2 linked regions of the Styela clava genome follow. The protein of the gene in region 2 interacts with the protein of the main gene of each other region in a pairwise test. Links are inferred from orthologs where the notes say so. Each region holds a gene or a part of one and is shown on either strand. Other genes may lie near its edges.

The links.
Region 1: the proteins of general transcription factor IIE subunit 1-like (region 2) and general transcription factor IIE subunit 2-like interact in a two-hybrid assay, tested with the Drosophila melanogaster proteins (2 studies listed by BioGRID). The link is inferred for Styela clava from reciprocal best matches to the Drosophila melanogaster genes TfIIEalpha and TfIIEbeta.

Annotation. Positions count from the first base shown.
Region 1 is NC_135255.1:3,758,519-3,766,187, reverse strand, and holds general transcription factor IIE subunit 2-like, read right to left. Parts: upstream 2,986-7,669; 5' UTR 2,961-2,985; coding exon 2,076-2,960; 3' UTR 528-2,075; downstream 1-527. Other genes in the region: diacylglycerol lipase-alpha-like, read right to left, coding at 301-395; small ribosomal subunit protein eS26-like, read left to right, coding at 4,653-4,777, 7,391-7,510.
Region 2 is NC_135250.1:24,568,080-24,575,912, forward strand, and holds the start of general transcription factor IIE subunit 1-like, read right to left. Parts: upstream 3,011-7,833; 5' UTR 2,930-3,010; coding exon 2,859-2,929; intron 2,586-2,858; coding exon 2,495-2,585; intron 1,943-2,494; coding exon 1,847-1,942; intron 1,265-1,846; coding exon 1,190-1,264; intron 1-1,189.

The sequences.
Region 1 (7,669 bases), on a different chromosome or scaffold from region 2:
TCGGTAGTCCCACATCTCATGGCCCACACCCAAAGGTGTAATAAATTGGATAGGCAATGCCAATGTCAGTTATAGAAACTCCTTACATATCAGTGGATTATTGCGCAAGGTATTTTCAGAGCAAAAAATAAAAATAAATACATATTTGGGAAAAATGGGATTATCTATCCCATTTCCAGCATTTTTTTATATGTCAGCGTCATTTCGACCAAAATATTATTCCTATTTGCTAAGTCTTTAGATATTTTTTCTATATCACATACCGGTAAATCGAAAAAATAAACGTAAATATCGACTTACAATATAAGATGCATGAGGAATAGTAACATTCCAGGAACCACAAGATCGTCGCTTCCCGTTCCCCATCTTCTTTTGAAGGCAATCATTCCAGGCATGATGGTGATAAATCCAACTTTCAACAAAGTTCATAAATTTGCTTTTAAACTAAGTAAGCTAATGATTATCTCCATTTAGGAAACGACATCTCATACTCCCAATAGACTCATGTAAATACCTGACCAGAAATGCTTGAAAAAAATGAATTAAAGATATGGATACACAATGTATGCAAATATTAGAATAGAGAGAGCCTGGCAGCTATTGGAAAATGAATAATTAGAATAAAATTACAAATCTTGAATCTTGGTGTAGTACAACCAAGAACATTTCCATATTGAAATATAAATTCCATAACATATTTTGCATTCTGATATTAGGAACAAAGTCCTAAATTATCGGTATTTTAAATTGAGAAAGAAATTAATTTGTCGATACCCCATAAATGTAGTTTGTTGGTGCCCACAGGTGTGTATAAAATGAGGTGAAACAAAGACTTGAATACACAGTTATTAGAATAGAACAAGCCTGATTAGGATATATAAAGAGATGACTTCATACCAAAATTGAAATTGTAATAGGACTATGAGAAATTCATTAAAAAAATATCATGCCAATTTTCTAAATTGATACATACAAGAGTGTGGTGGTACTATATTCTTTCAAGAATTAAAAAGGAGGTGTTGCATGATTATATTCTTATCAGTGTAGCCAGTGATGCACAAAGAATGGTTCGTGAGCGCAAAATTTAGAACAACACCTGGTACATTGGATCAGTGGTTCCCAACATTTTTTCAAGCAACCCAAATTTTCTAAAAAAAATTAATTTCCTAAAATCTCGCGACCCAAGGATATGTTCAAATACTCATTGGCATGTAATACTTTTATGGCCGCAAAATTCAATGACTAATAAAAAACATGACTAAGTGAGAAAGCTGCGTTAGTTTGCCCCAGTGAGGTCGTGGGGTAGCTCTACTTAAACAAAACAAATGCTGCAAAGTTTTTGCAATGTGATACTTCCCACGTATACAATTACTATTGAGCGACACTTCAATTACAAATATAAAACAAACAATAAAATTCACTAGAAATTGAAAATTGGTAACTTTTAGATTTTCGTTGAAAAAACAAGCTACCCATAAAAATGTTCAGGAGACTCAGTCGTGGGTCGTGACCCATAGGTTGGGAAACACTGCCTTAGATAATAAAAAGTAAGGTGGGTGCACAAATTTGTAGGTAGAAAGCATTTCGCAACAAGTCGAAACAAATTAAGTCGAAAGACAATTTGAGAAGGCTGAGAACAAATAGATAAATTTACAAGCTGCAGACCTAGTCCTTAGGGAGCAAAAAAAAATCAATACATTCTGAAAAAAATCATAAAGTTCAATTATGTGGTAATTAAAGTCATCCATGAAGTACATAAACAACTTTGATAGAAACATTTTTGAACAGATTAGTGAGAATCAAAAATATTAAAAACATTAGGTTTGACTGGTTTTCAAGTCTTGTCTGCAGTCAGTTTTTCATAGTGTGTATAATGGTAATTTAGTCATAATTTTGTCAAAACTTCCAAACGAACATTATTCAAATAGAATCCTACAAGCAAAAGGTATTATATTGAATTGACTTTGAGCAAATTACATTTGATTTGCATATAGCTTGCATCTTAGTCGATTGCTATTAAAAATAAGCACAGTCGTTGCAGAATACATTGCCTATACATAGATCAATTAAAAATATCATTTCTGTTTTTCAGAATAATCTTCTAAAACACCAGCTATAATATGATCATTATGTCTTTTAAATTTGCGCTTTCTGTTATTTGCCCTTTTACGAGGCTGTGCTGGCTTGAGCTTTGTCCTTGTGTCTTGTACAGAAGACATACCCTGTTGATTAAGGTACTCTTCAATTTTAGTTTCATCCATTGATTCAATAGCAACACTTCTCCACAACTTTTGAAATTCTTCGTCGACTTGAAACTCACAGCTTTTATCATTGTAAAACAAAACTTCCTTTTTATCAGGCCTCGTTATATAAATGATTTTATTTCCTAAAGCCTTTAGACAACGCTTTGCATTTGGTAAACTTTCTTCTACTTCGAAACGCATAATTCCACCTAGACCACGCTGATCATATCTATCCAATAATTTCAGAAGTGATTTTTTATCACGAATGTTATACTTCGGTTTGAAAGCGTATTTTCGTTCCTGGCCCGGATTGTCGACGACTTGTATTTTCGGATTATTTGGTAATGCTTCATTTATCAGCCAGTTTTTCTGTACTGGCGTTATAATATCTTCAAGCTTGCATTCCTCCAATATTTCATCAATCGTAAGTGGGAACATATCATCTTCTTGATGTCTCGATTTCATAAAGTTCACAATTTGAGCGAGGTTTCCGAATTTTGAACCTCCTATACCTGCCCTACTGCTATATGATGATATAGACTTGACCGAGTTACTATCTGACGTCGGCCGTTGTAATTTTTTAGGCTTTTTCTTTGCACTGGCTGCAGAAGTGTCATTGTTGACTGCCTCACTCTGATGTTTTCTCTTCTCTATGACAGGTCGTGCAAGCGCACGCTTATTAAACTCCTCTCTTTGACGTAAAAGACTAGCATCCATATTTCTAAATCAGTAAATTAAAAAAAAATTAATATAAAATACAACAGGCCACTTGAACTTATACAATTGCAAACAATTTTTAAGAGAAGTGGTATATACAATAATACAACTTACAAGAAGGATTGAGTCATTTATATTATTATTAGAATGACTTTCTAATTTAAGGAATCAAAATCACTTATACAGACAGCAATGTGATATCCTTGAATAATAATCTGAAACTACAGTCCAGCAATCACATATAACACTCCATATTAATTAATACAAGGGTTTAAAGGAGGAATGTGTCGTGTACTTTCAAGTGCAAATTTTTTGCAAAACCGAGTAAATAAAAATCCAATATTAAAGCACGCAACAATCATCTTTTCAAAGAATTTATAAAACTTTAGAATGTTTTGATAAAGTTATTTTAATAATTCTGTGACACATAAATATAAGGTACAGAATTGTGCGAAACGAGCCAATCTCAGGTCAAATACAACAAAGTCCAAATCAACAATAACTGTTCAAAATAATTTTGTATGAATTCATATTTTACTTGGTTTTATTCACAATCTAGTTTATTTTGATATGAATTTATTGGAGAGTGGAAAAATGAACTTTTTAATTCATTGATTTTACTCTTAAAATAGTTATTCAAAACATTCATATTGCTTTCTGCTCAAAAAATAACCATTTAAAAAAATCATGTTGTGTTTATATTTGTTGAAATTACTACAGACAGACAGAGCAGGTTGATGGCACACATTTTGACGATTCCTTTAAAATATTGGTAACAATATTTCACTGGCTTTATCATATTCCTATATTTTTTTATGTGTGCATCTAATTAGTCGTTATATATTTCTGCTGTGATTGTGTTTCAACTGATAATTCTGTGTTTGTCTAATACTGGATAACAATGTAGGGAAAATCTTGACTCATTTTTTTCAAGGACTCGGTGGATCTCACATTTCATGTAAATAAAATCACTTTTCTCGGATAGCCAGAGAGCCCGCATTGGGACTTCCAAGGGGTTCCACCTCAGTTGGAATGTGGAAAGAGCAATGTACTAACACACTAATGGAACATAATTTCTGGACACAATTTATCATGTCGATCAAAGTTTTATTCAAAACTCACTAGCAACAACTCAAAATACATCATGTTCATATAATTAATATTAAACGGTATTTAACGTCAATTTGGTACGGTAATTGTCGTTGCCTAAAAGTATCCAACTTCTGACAATGGTGCATTATAGACTACACTACACAAACATTCAATTCGCCAACGATAGCGAATTTCGGCAGTCGGCACGGTACCGATTTACTACTAGTCAACTAGGAAATGAATTGTTCCAAGAATTGTTTATGGAATTGGTCAATCGCTCACTTTCAATCCAACAAATTAGACCTGGCGCGGAGTAAGAGTGACATCTTGTGGAGAATTATTTGCGCAAAGAAAAATAGAATGAAGTCCTCTTTTCAGCACCACTTCGGCCATTTGGTTGGTTTTCGACAAGGTGAATTATATCCGTTGTAATAGATCTATTTTATTAGTGGATTGCTTTGTTTGTTATAAAATCGAGTACAGGATGGTTTATTTTAAAAGAATAATCTTTTGTGGAATGAAAGATAGCTTAGATTTTTTAGAATATTCGTATCAAGCGAAAGTATATATTGGTTTATGTATTTCAGAACACTCAGCACCATGACGTTGAAACGGCGAAATAATGGACGTAACAAAAAAGGCAGAGGGCATGTAAAATATGTTAGATGCGAATCATCAGGAGCCCGTGTTCCTAAAGACAAGGCAATCAAGAAATACATCATCAGGTATTGTGCTCTAATTTACTGATCTGATCTTTTCAGCTCTGCGATTATTGAAATCTGGCTGTTTCCATGTAGGATCCCCCTTTGCGTTAAAGAAAACGATACCCAAATCTATTTCAATGCAGCAATTTGTCATTAGTTAATATGACACAGTTCTCCGGTTCCAAGAATACCCCCCACATTTAAAGACATTTATAACGGTGATTGCCAACCTATGCTTTATGAGAAAGTCTGGGCCTCCATATCGGCAATGTGCAATAAACTAAAAGGAAGCGCAATCTAAAAATGTCACCATTGGATTCCACTCAAAAAGTAATTAATACACAGAAGATACACACGTTTTGGACGACATTTCGTATACTTTGATGGGCCATATTTCGGCAATGTAATGTTGCAGTGACGTAATTTTTGGATGACAAAGTCATGTGAAATTAGAAATGACATATGCGAAGATGGTTATGTCACGCCAACTAGAAGTACTTGACTGCGTTTGGTGAACTAGCCTCCTTCTTTTGACCAATATGTGCCATGATTATGTGAAATAGACCTTGTTACGTTATACCAACAGAATTGAAAACTTCGTAAATTCACTCGTACATCTGTAATTTACGAATAAAGTTATTGAGCTATGACTGTTTTTCATATAGAGCAGCGTTTCCCAACCTTTTCTGGTTGCGGACTATTTTCTCACCGGCGAAAACCTTTGCGGACTCATTGTGCGTTTATTGCAACCGTACTCTGTGTGAAAAAGCAATAAAACCAATTACAACAGAATTTTAAAATCGGGAATTCGCCGCAATTACACGTTCGTTAAGAGACGATTTTTTTAGTGTATAATGGCTTTTTCTGTCACACAATATCAATCTATCACAACGACGTGAATTTAAAATGTCCTATTTTAATTTGATTGTGTTCATGGTAACTCGCGGTTGCGTCGACTTACGACAAGATGAAAGCATTACTTCCTTAAAATGGCAGGGCAATCTGTGACTATAATAATGTGAGAATATATAATATTGCCCGATTATATTTTTTGCGAGCTTGCGAATTTGTTATCGTCGTTAGAAAAATCCTACTATCTGCTATAAATTTCCAGAAAGTACAACTTGATTTAGTACTTATTAAAAATACATATTCATCGTCTTGCTTTAAAATTAATCCAGTTGTGATCATTTTAATCTGCAGTTTTGTTGTCGAAATAAAAGCAATGCTACTCAGAAAATATCATGACAATGCGTGGTAAAGTGCTTGATTATATTTTGTTTTGATTCTTATTTTTGTAAATTCGACAAATCTGAGCTGTTCGTACAACACTTACGGTGCTCCAGTACTGTACGTACCAATGTGGAGGCAGTAAAGCAAAGAATCCTAAGGGAAAATGCCCTGGTACGTATACTACGGTAGCACCCGAACTTTTGCGATTCGTAATGTTTAAAAAAGCGTTTTTAATTGGTCGCGGACCATCATAAAACAAAATTTAAGGTGTTCTCCGTTTTATTTTTAGTATTGCCGATTTTCAATTTAGAAAATTCGGGTTGCCACCATTGACACTTATCTTATCATCAGAAAAAAAAAATTTATTCCTCGTTATTCGAACTCGCGAAACTTCATTTAGATATCTATCGAAGCTTGTGCACTCTCGTGTTTTTGTCGGAAATCCGCAAGGGAGTTGTGAAATCCGATCGTTTGATTAGGCGACGCGCAGGCGACCTTCGCGTTGTCAAATTTTTGAATATATGATCAGTCCTACTCAGTAACCAGTAATTATTGACTCGATTAATGTTATGTTAATAAACTTGCTTTTTTTGTTTTATGTAAATTCTGACGTAAATCGTAACTTGGCTGATAGTTGAGTTTCGCAAAAACGTTTGCTGCCCGAAGTGAATTTTTGGCTCATTGCGGACTCATTCAAACGCTCTGCGGACTCATTTGAGACCGCGGACTCGGGTTGGGAAACACTGATATAGAGTATTGTAAATGAAGCAATTCTGATTTTATAAGCAAAAAACAAAATGTGGTATATTTTCAATTGTCTGTAGACAGTGACCTAAACTCATAGCAAGTTAGCAGAATAGCTGTGCCTTTTAATTTGTCAAACTCCTGGTGTAGTCTAACGATATTTGCGTATGACATTTCTAACCCTCACCTTACTATATCATCCACAAATTATGTCACAGTGCAGTAAAAAGGGTCCGCCATAATATATGGACAGTCGGCCAAAACACGCAAACGATCACTTGAAATCAAGCAAGCAACATCGTATACAAAGGGATACTCTCTCATTTTGTCGTTATAGTGATTCCAATATGAGAGAGGCCACTGGCGTTAGTGAGTTGGACACTGTCAGCCCAGACGTTTTTGGATGACGTAGTTAGATGGGGTTGGTGATAACATAGTCATAAATGGTTATGCCACACGGATTAGAAGAATTTGTGGTACTAAAGTACTCTGTTAAACTCTTGTATAGGAAATGAATCCATTTATTAATAATGTATTCGAAAAACTGGTGTAATTTATTAAACATACATTCTACGATTACTCTATTTTGTTATGGAAACATGTTGAATTGTAAACTTCATATATTTATTAACCTTTTGTATTTCTCTCATTTCACAGAAACATTGTTGATGCCGCAGGAATGAGAGATTTGGCAGATGCTAGTGTGTACGAGTCATATGCATTGCCAAAAATGTATTATAAGGTCTACTACAGTGTGTCAGCTGCTATTCACTTGAGGTATTATAATTAAAAATATTTTTAATAATATTGAGTTAAGAATAAAATAGAATTACCGTAAGTGCTTTTTGTTTGAGTTTTTCGTAAATATTTTTTGCAATCTGTGATTATTGAATTCTGTCAAATATTCACAAATCACAATATTATACTTTGTCATTG
Region 2 (7,833 bases):
TCTTCCTCATATTTGAACAATGCTTCTTCATAAGTTTTTATTAATTGTTTTTCTATATTCCTATTTTCCTTAGCTAACTTTTCTCCGCTATATATAGACCACTCCTTAATTTTTCTTTTACAATTTTCCCAAAATTTAAGAACATCAATTTCATGTCCTTCATTTAATTGCTTTAGCCATTTCTTTAATATAACTTCTACCCCTGTGACAAATAAATCATAATTTAATAAGTTGCTATTAAATTTCCAATAACCTTTCCCACGTTTGATATTCTCGCCTATATCTGTCCACATAAAGACAGGTAAGTGATCCGATAATGCTGCTGCAATTATTTCAACTTTTTCTACATTGACAGTATATAATCGCGAAAGATACCATCTGTCTATTCTGCTTTTGGATTGTTTTTGCCCGTTTCTGGTTGCTGGGCGATGAAATGAAAATTGTAAAAGGGATGAGTGCCTTTCACGCCAAATATCAATCAAATCCAATTTAGTAACAATATTTTGGAGCATTTTTTCACTTTTGGAATTATTATTTCTTCTACATTTGACGGAATCCCTATCCCTATCTTCCAAAATACAATTAAAATCACCACCACATATAAAATTGCATGTGTATGCATAATTTGAAGCTTTCAGGGTTTCTAGTTTTTCATATATAAGTTTGAACAACTTGACCCTTTGAGAATCAAGGTTTGGAGCATAAACGTTCACTACTATTGTTAAAAAACTATCGTATTCAAATGAACATATAATATATTGGCCATTTTCATCTATATCTATATTGCCTAAAGATATATCTAAATTTGAAGAAATCAAGATCAAGATCCCTACCCCATTGCAGGTATTGGAATATTCAGTCCATAAACATTGACTACCCCACTCTTTTGACCATGATTCATTTTCAATTTTACCAGAACAGTGAGTCTCTTGCAGAAACACTATATTAGCTCCCCGTTTTTTCAAAAAAGTAAATATCGCCTCCCTTTTCGTCAAATCCCTTAGTCTTAGTACTTCAGTCTTAGTACCAACACATATTTAACATTATATTAAAAAAAATTTTCAACGAAAAGACCAGAAAGAAACAATTCACTTGCTAAAAATTACATAATGATACTTTTGCTAGTCTGAAATAACATGTATAATAACACATAAAGTAATCTAAAATAAATGAAATTGAGAATATTTACCTTATATTTAATAATGTTGCAAATGCTTCTATAATTTATATAATAATAATTGTGACGAAGTACATTCCCATCTGGCTGTAAAACAAAGATTTACAAAAATAATTTTATGTTTACACAACAGTTAGATGATTAACTCGATTTGTATTGCACAATGGCCTAGTGTTGGGTTCTCAAACATCCCCGGATGCGGCTGCATAAATTATAATAAAATAAGTGTAATTATTTAATCCTTTTTAGTGGAATGCAACCATTTTTTGCATTCGTTCATTGACCCCTGACCAAGGCTGAAGCATTGGAATGAATGAACTATGCCTGCATCACAGGTTCAAGATCTCAGTGTAATCCCGTACCCAACACCTCACATTGGGTGTATTAAATTGGGTAGGCGGGTTGTCAAATGACTGCCAAAAATATATCCTGCCTATGGTTTGTGAATTTCATTTTGATTTTGTGTTAATTCGGACTATTTTAAGTATGCGATATCACCCCTTCAGGTTTTTCCCCCATAAGAAGCAATATTGCGCACGTTGTTAAGCACTGCTCTACGCGATATATTCTAAGCAAATGATTTTTAAGTTACCTACTATGGAAAGGTATATAATCTCACTATATCACACTTTAACCTATAATAACAAGATTGCTATTTATCATCTTTACTTGAGTTTCAACGCAAAGTCTTGCTTTCAAAATTTTATCATTCTTCAGAAAAACCAACATTGCTCGTAGTTGTTTCTTGTCCATTTTCAAAAGTTCCTGAAAGAAAAATAATCACTTTTCAAACACAGTATACAAATTTTGATGACCCCGATAGCTTAATCTAAAATCTAAAAAAAAAATTTCTAATTGTAAAATTCAGAGTTGTCAGTAAAAAGCCCAAAAAAACTTTGTTCACCGACACAAATATCACATTAATGGAATATATAACGATTTATGCACTACTTAGTATATTTTGACCAATCAAGTGTGCAACTAATGAAAATCCGAAAAATTTATCAATAAGGACAAAAGGATTAGCCTATATATGAGAGTGCCAAATTGAGTTGCCATAAAAACAATCTTTTTTTCTATTGATGAATGCTGATGGCTCAACTTTCGATGAATCATCATTATTGTTCAGAATACCTTCACAAATACACTGACGGGTCGAAAGTGGCAAGTTTGAACCCACTCCCCCCCTCTTCCGTAAGAGTAAAAAAAAAACTGGACCTCATGAAATTAGAAAGTCTCTAGTCCTTACATCTATATTCTTTCTATATAGGATTAATTAAAAACAAAAGTATGTAACTCGTAAAAAACATGACCAACTTGGATGTCATCTTCCTTCACACATGCGTTTCGAACAAGTACGTCGATAACTAGGCCGTGTTCAAGTCCATAGAATCCTCTTGCAACATATCTGAAGACAAAATATATAAGATCATGAAGCTGAAGGTATAGCTCTGAGAAATAAATAATGTGTCCCACTTTTCCACACTTGAAAATAGTTTGAATTCCATGAGTCTAGATGTAGACTAACACAAATGTAACATTTTTACATTCGTGTTAGTGTACAGCAAGACTCCAGAGCAGCTTTGCATTATGAATCCACTTACGCAAAGGTATAGCGTAAGAAAAAGTAGATATTCTTGTGTAACGCAACTGATAATTGAAAAAGTTAAGTAATATTAACCTGATAAGTCTCTGCAAAGCATCGGGTACTTCTCGTAAAACTTCAGATTCATTTTCTAATGTGTTGGACATTTTACTTAAAATCAGACTTCAAGAAAAGAATTCTAATTTGGAATATAAATATTATCCTATATTACATAGTGTGAGCACCCCCTGAAAAGCAAAAAGTAAAAATATTAAAATTTTGCTGGTTGTGTGACATCAAATAAGATGGAAATTCACATTCATTCTGAAGGAGAGAAAACATACAACATTGCACATTAAATATTACCAGTTACCAGTCAGAATTACCACCAGAGCACTGTGATGGAAAAAATGATAACATGTGAAAAAGTGGCTCTTCATTTGAAGCCTTGTTTAATGCAAACACACAAATAATCTCAAAACACAACCCAAGTAAAACCATAACCGGTGGACTATGCCAGAACAATGAAGAAAATTTTTCAACTCCCAGCTATCGTGAACAATTGTCCACATCCTTGTTTAAAAATAAGATAAAATGTTATTATTAGAAAACAGTCCCAATTTATATTTGCTACTCTTCTTGAAAACAACAAAAAGATACAAATAACATTGGGCGTTCACAATTAAATGTACAAAGTGTGAGTGGTATCAAAATTGATTCAATATCAAAAAATTTGTACATTATAATAGTGGTGATCGTTTTCAGTAAATATTATAACCTGTGTTTTAGAAATGTAACCATTTTTATATAAAAACAAGAAGGAATTTTGAAATGGAATTTAGCGCTTAAATCAACGATGCAAAAAGTGGGTGCGACGCAGGTTTTAGGTCATTTTTATGTGACCCGAGTTGAGAATTATGATAATAGAGTACTCTTCAGAAATCAAAAAACAATGACATTCAACAGAAATTTTTACTTCGCTTGATTGATATTGAGTTATTTTTTCCACATATTCGATTCAACCATGGATGCAAAAAGTGGGTGCGATATAAGGTGTGTACCGAGCCACAGGATTTTGATAACAGAGTTCTCTTTAGAAATCAGAAGTCCATAACAATCAACAAAAACGTTTTTATTGCTTGACTGATATCGAGGAGGTTTTCTCACATATATTCTATGCACCTAATATAGAACTCTCAATCTAAAATTGATTTGAAGTATAGCATGCATGAAAGTATTTTAGAAAGCAGTCCTAGGATTGCAAAATATTTTAGTTGAAATTACTAGATTTTGAGTACTACTGATGAAAAATACTACCGGTATGTAAAGCAATGGAGATAAATTATACTTGCAGAATATACCATGATTCCAAATGTTTAATTGTACATAGAGGAAAGGATAATTACCGATTTGTCACAAAAACAATATAGCACAAAAGATATTATTTCAAAAAGCAGGATTAGGGTTGTAAAAAAATTTAGGTGAAATTTAGAGATTTTGAGTATGACTGATGAAAAATATGATGTAAAGCAATGAATATAAGAGTTATACAAATATAGTTAACTGTGATCCAAACCCATGACAAGGATTAAGAGAATGAGATGAAAATATCTAAACTCCTACAATGTTTTTCGACTGTATTTAAATAATTACCTGAAAAATACGGGATTGATTCAGTAATAAATTTTAGTGGCAAAATACCAAGTGATGGAAATTAATTTCCTTAACATGTACATCAGAGTTAGAGTAGATTCAAATCATAATATATTCAATTTTTTATAATATCTTCCATATAGTTTTGACCGTTCCTATAAGAAAAATTTTATAAACCTCAGGCAAATGTCATAAGCTTTTGTGTCAACGTAAATGATTCAGCATATAATTTTTTTTAATATATTTATACGCAGAATTACTGAATCTTGAAAATGTCAATTCTTGGAATCAGTGACTTTCTTTTGGGTGATCTGCTTACTGAACATAACATGAAACCATGGTGGGAAAAAATCAGAGGATATTTTTATGCAGGCAGTGTGGCAACCACCCTTTTTATGTTTTATTTGACACAAACTATAAAAATAAAATGTGTTCCGACGGTACAAAATGGCACCTCTCTTGATGCTGCTATAATGAACAACTATTGTATGAACCAGATACCATGGTTTGTGACTTATTCTGGTTTTCTCGGCCTGTCTTCCATCTTGCTGGTTTTGATTGCTTCTGCCTATTGGCTTCAGATACCTGGAGTTATAAATTCATTCAACACTTTCAAAAAAGCAGAACAGCTAATTGAAGGATTATCCGATGAAAATGACAAACTGCAATCCTCTGTTGAAGAACCTTTATCCAGAATGTCTGACTGCATCGTGAGAGAGGCTTGGCCCTTATTACTCTTATATGAATGCGATATTTTTATCAAACATGTTTATTACAAAAGAAATAGGATTCTTCTTGCCGCTATCGTCTTATCAATAGGTATATCAGGATTACTAGTATGTTTCTTGGCTAAAGATGGCAACACATTTCACTGCAATCCGTTTCAATTAGACTATTTGGAAATGACTGGTGAAGGGAGTCCGGTACCTTATTTTTGCTCACACAATACTGCAAAACAACTTATTCCTTATTGGGTGGGGTTTTAAGCATCTACCATGCTACAACTCGTGTTTGTTATAGTGGGAATGTGCAAAATGAGATATTTACATAAGGCAGTCCCTAGATTTGACCAAAACAGCTATTTTCTAGAACCCCTCACAATAGAAGAAACTACAGCTGGGAATGCTGAACATGACAGCCCCGAGAATTACTTTAAAAATATACAAATTTTAAGAACTTATGCAAAGAAAGCATTCCCCTTTATAACATTTATGATTCGCTTCTGGGAATCTTGGACGCTCTGGAAAATTTTGTGAGATCGTTAAACTCTGGTTTTCTGACGAATCATTGAAAGAATCGGCTAGACACTATACAGATGCCATAACACTTGACAAAAAGAAAAATATTGAATTGTTTTCCATCACGAACGATCTTGAAGACTGGAAAATATTGGAAAAAGTAGAACAAAAATTAAGCGAAAGAAAGATAACAGCAAACACTGCAGAGAAATATCTTCAAAATATAAAATTGAAAATTACTAATCCACATACTAAAAAACTAATGAATATTGCAAAAATAAACAGAGATGGCTTTTTAACAGTTGTCATTATAAATCAATTCGAAGAGACAGATGAATGTGAAAATTTTGTGAAAGATCTAAATCTGGATTTATTGGATAACGATGGCAGATCAATTTTGTACTATGCTTTATCTGATCAAAAATATTTCAAAGCGGCTAAGATTATACTGAAAAGCATGAAAGATGGAAGAACGAAATATATTCATTGCGACTCTAAGTACAAGTACTCCTTTCCTCCTATTATTGGTTTAGACAATAAAACCATCAGAGCAGCAGAGTATGTAGAGTGAGTTTACAACAAAATGTGGACCCGTAATGAGGATTATGAATCGCTGAAAGTTCTAATTCTTAAAAGCGAAGAAGGGGGTCCTGTGCCAAGTAAAAGTCAAGAAGCACTGAAGGAACTTTTAAGTAAGTTTAGTATCAATGAGGAAGTACATGAAAAAGCGAGTCTACAAATGCAGAATGAAGTAGATATAAAAAAAGTATTAAAGCCATTGGAACCTCTCCTATGTGTATTAGCATGCACAATGCTCGAACGGGAATTTTCAACTCTCTTATTTACTCACTGGGATGAAACAGCAAAAAAAATTGCAAGATTTGCATATGACAATAAGCTCTGGGATATATTTGTAACATTACTAAATTCATACATTGTAACTGAAGAAAATGAAATTGAGGAAGGACTGCGTGAAGTAGGATGTGGTGTCAGGAAATTTGATATTGGAGAAAACCCTGAAATTCTCGTTACTGCATGTGTCAACAGTCTCCGAGGGACAACTGCCCTAGAGCATATACTTGCATGCACTCTTCCTCAGCAAAAGGATCGAAATCATCCTGGCCTGCAGATAATTGATCATACTATTCTTGAAGTTGGAATAAAAGAAAAGATAAAAAAAAAATGGCACACAGTATGAAAGAAAGATTCGGACAAAGTACAACAAATGAAACAAGAATAAATCTGGAAGAAAATGCTGGACCATCAACATCAAATCGAGAGAGGCAACATAATGTACAAGATAATGAAACAGAGAATGAAGAAGACATCATCGATTCTACACCACTGTACAAAACCTCCCCGGTGTAAGACATTAATTGAAAGCTATCATGTTGATATTTGGGAAACATTATCCAAAGTCAACTAATTTTTTTGATTTGTTGTAAATGCTTTGGCTAATAGATTAGGCCTTCTAATTGAAATAGAAATTCATATGTATCTATATGATTTGATTCAAGATTGTGAAATTGAAGATTGGTATGTTTTCCTTAATATTGGAGTCATAGCCAAAAATGTATTTTAATTTTAAACTCTTTAATAAAGTAAGAGATGAAGTCAAAATTTCTGACAAAAAATAAAAAAGCTCATCATACTTATCATCATAATAGAAGCATTGTAAATATCAAAAGTTTTTGAAGACACACAGTTTTCCCAAGATTGGAGACTGATATCAGTGTAAAATTTTTGTGATTTAAGAATCGAAAATTGGTATCGTTTACCAAATTTCTCAAACTTTAGTGTAAATGTTCCTGGAATTCATAGGAGCTGTTGTCCTCACAACAGTTTAATATGATGACCATTATTGGATGAATTACTTCAAATAAACAAATCAATTTGCCCCATCTTTTACTGATATAAAGTTACTTAGATGTTTTTTTTTATCCGTAGAATCACATATTCTGTACTCTGTAGTGTAGATTACTAGACTAAATATAAAACTTGTTTGAAAATAGTTATAAAGATTGTTGTCTTTATTTATAAGATTTCAAGGGATGAAGTCTGCTAGTTGCGTTCCTATGCCTACAACCTAAATTCTGATAACATTAAAAATATCGAAAATATACTAAAATGAGCACCAGAAAGCAAACAAAGGTTTGGTTTATTTGAAGCTCGAAATATGG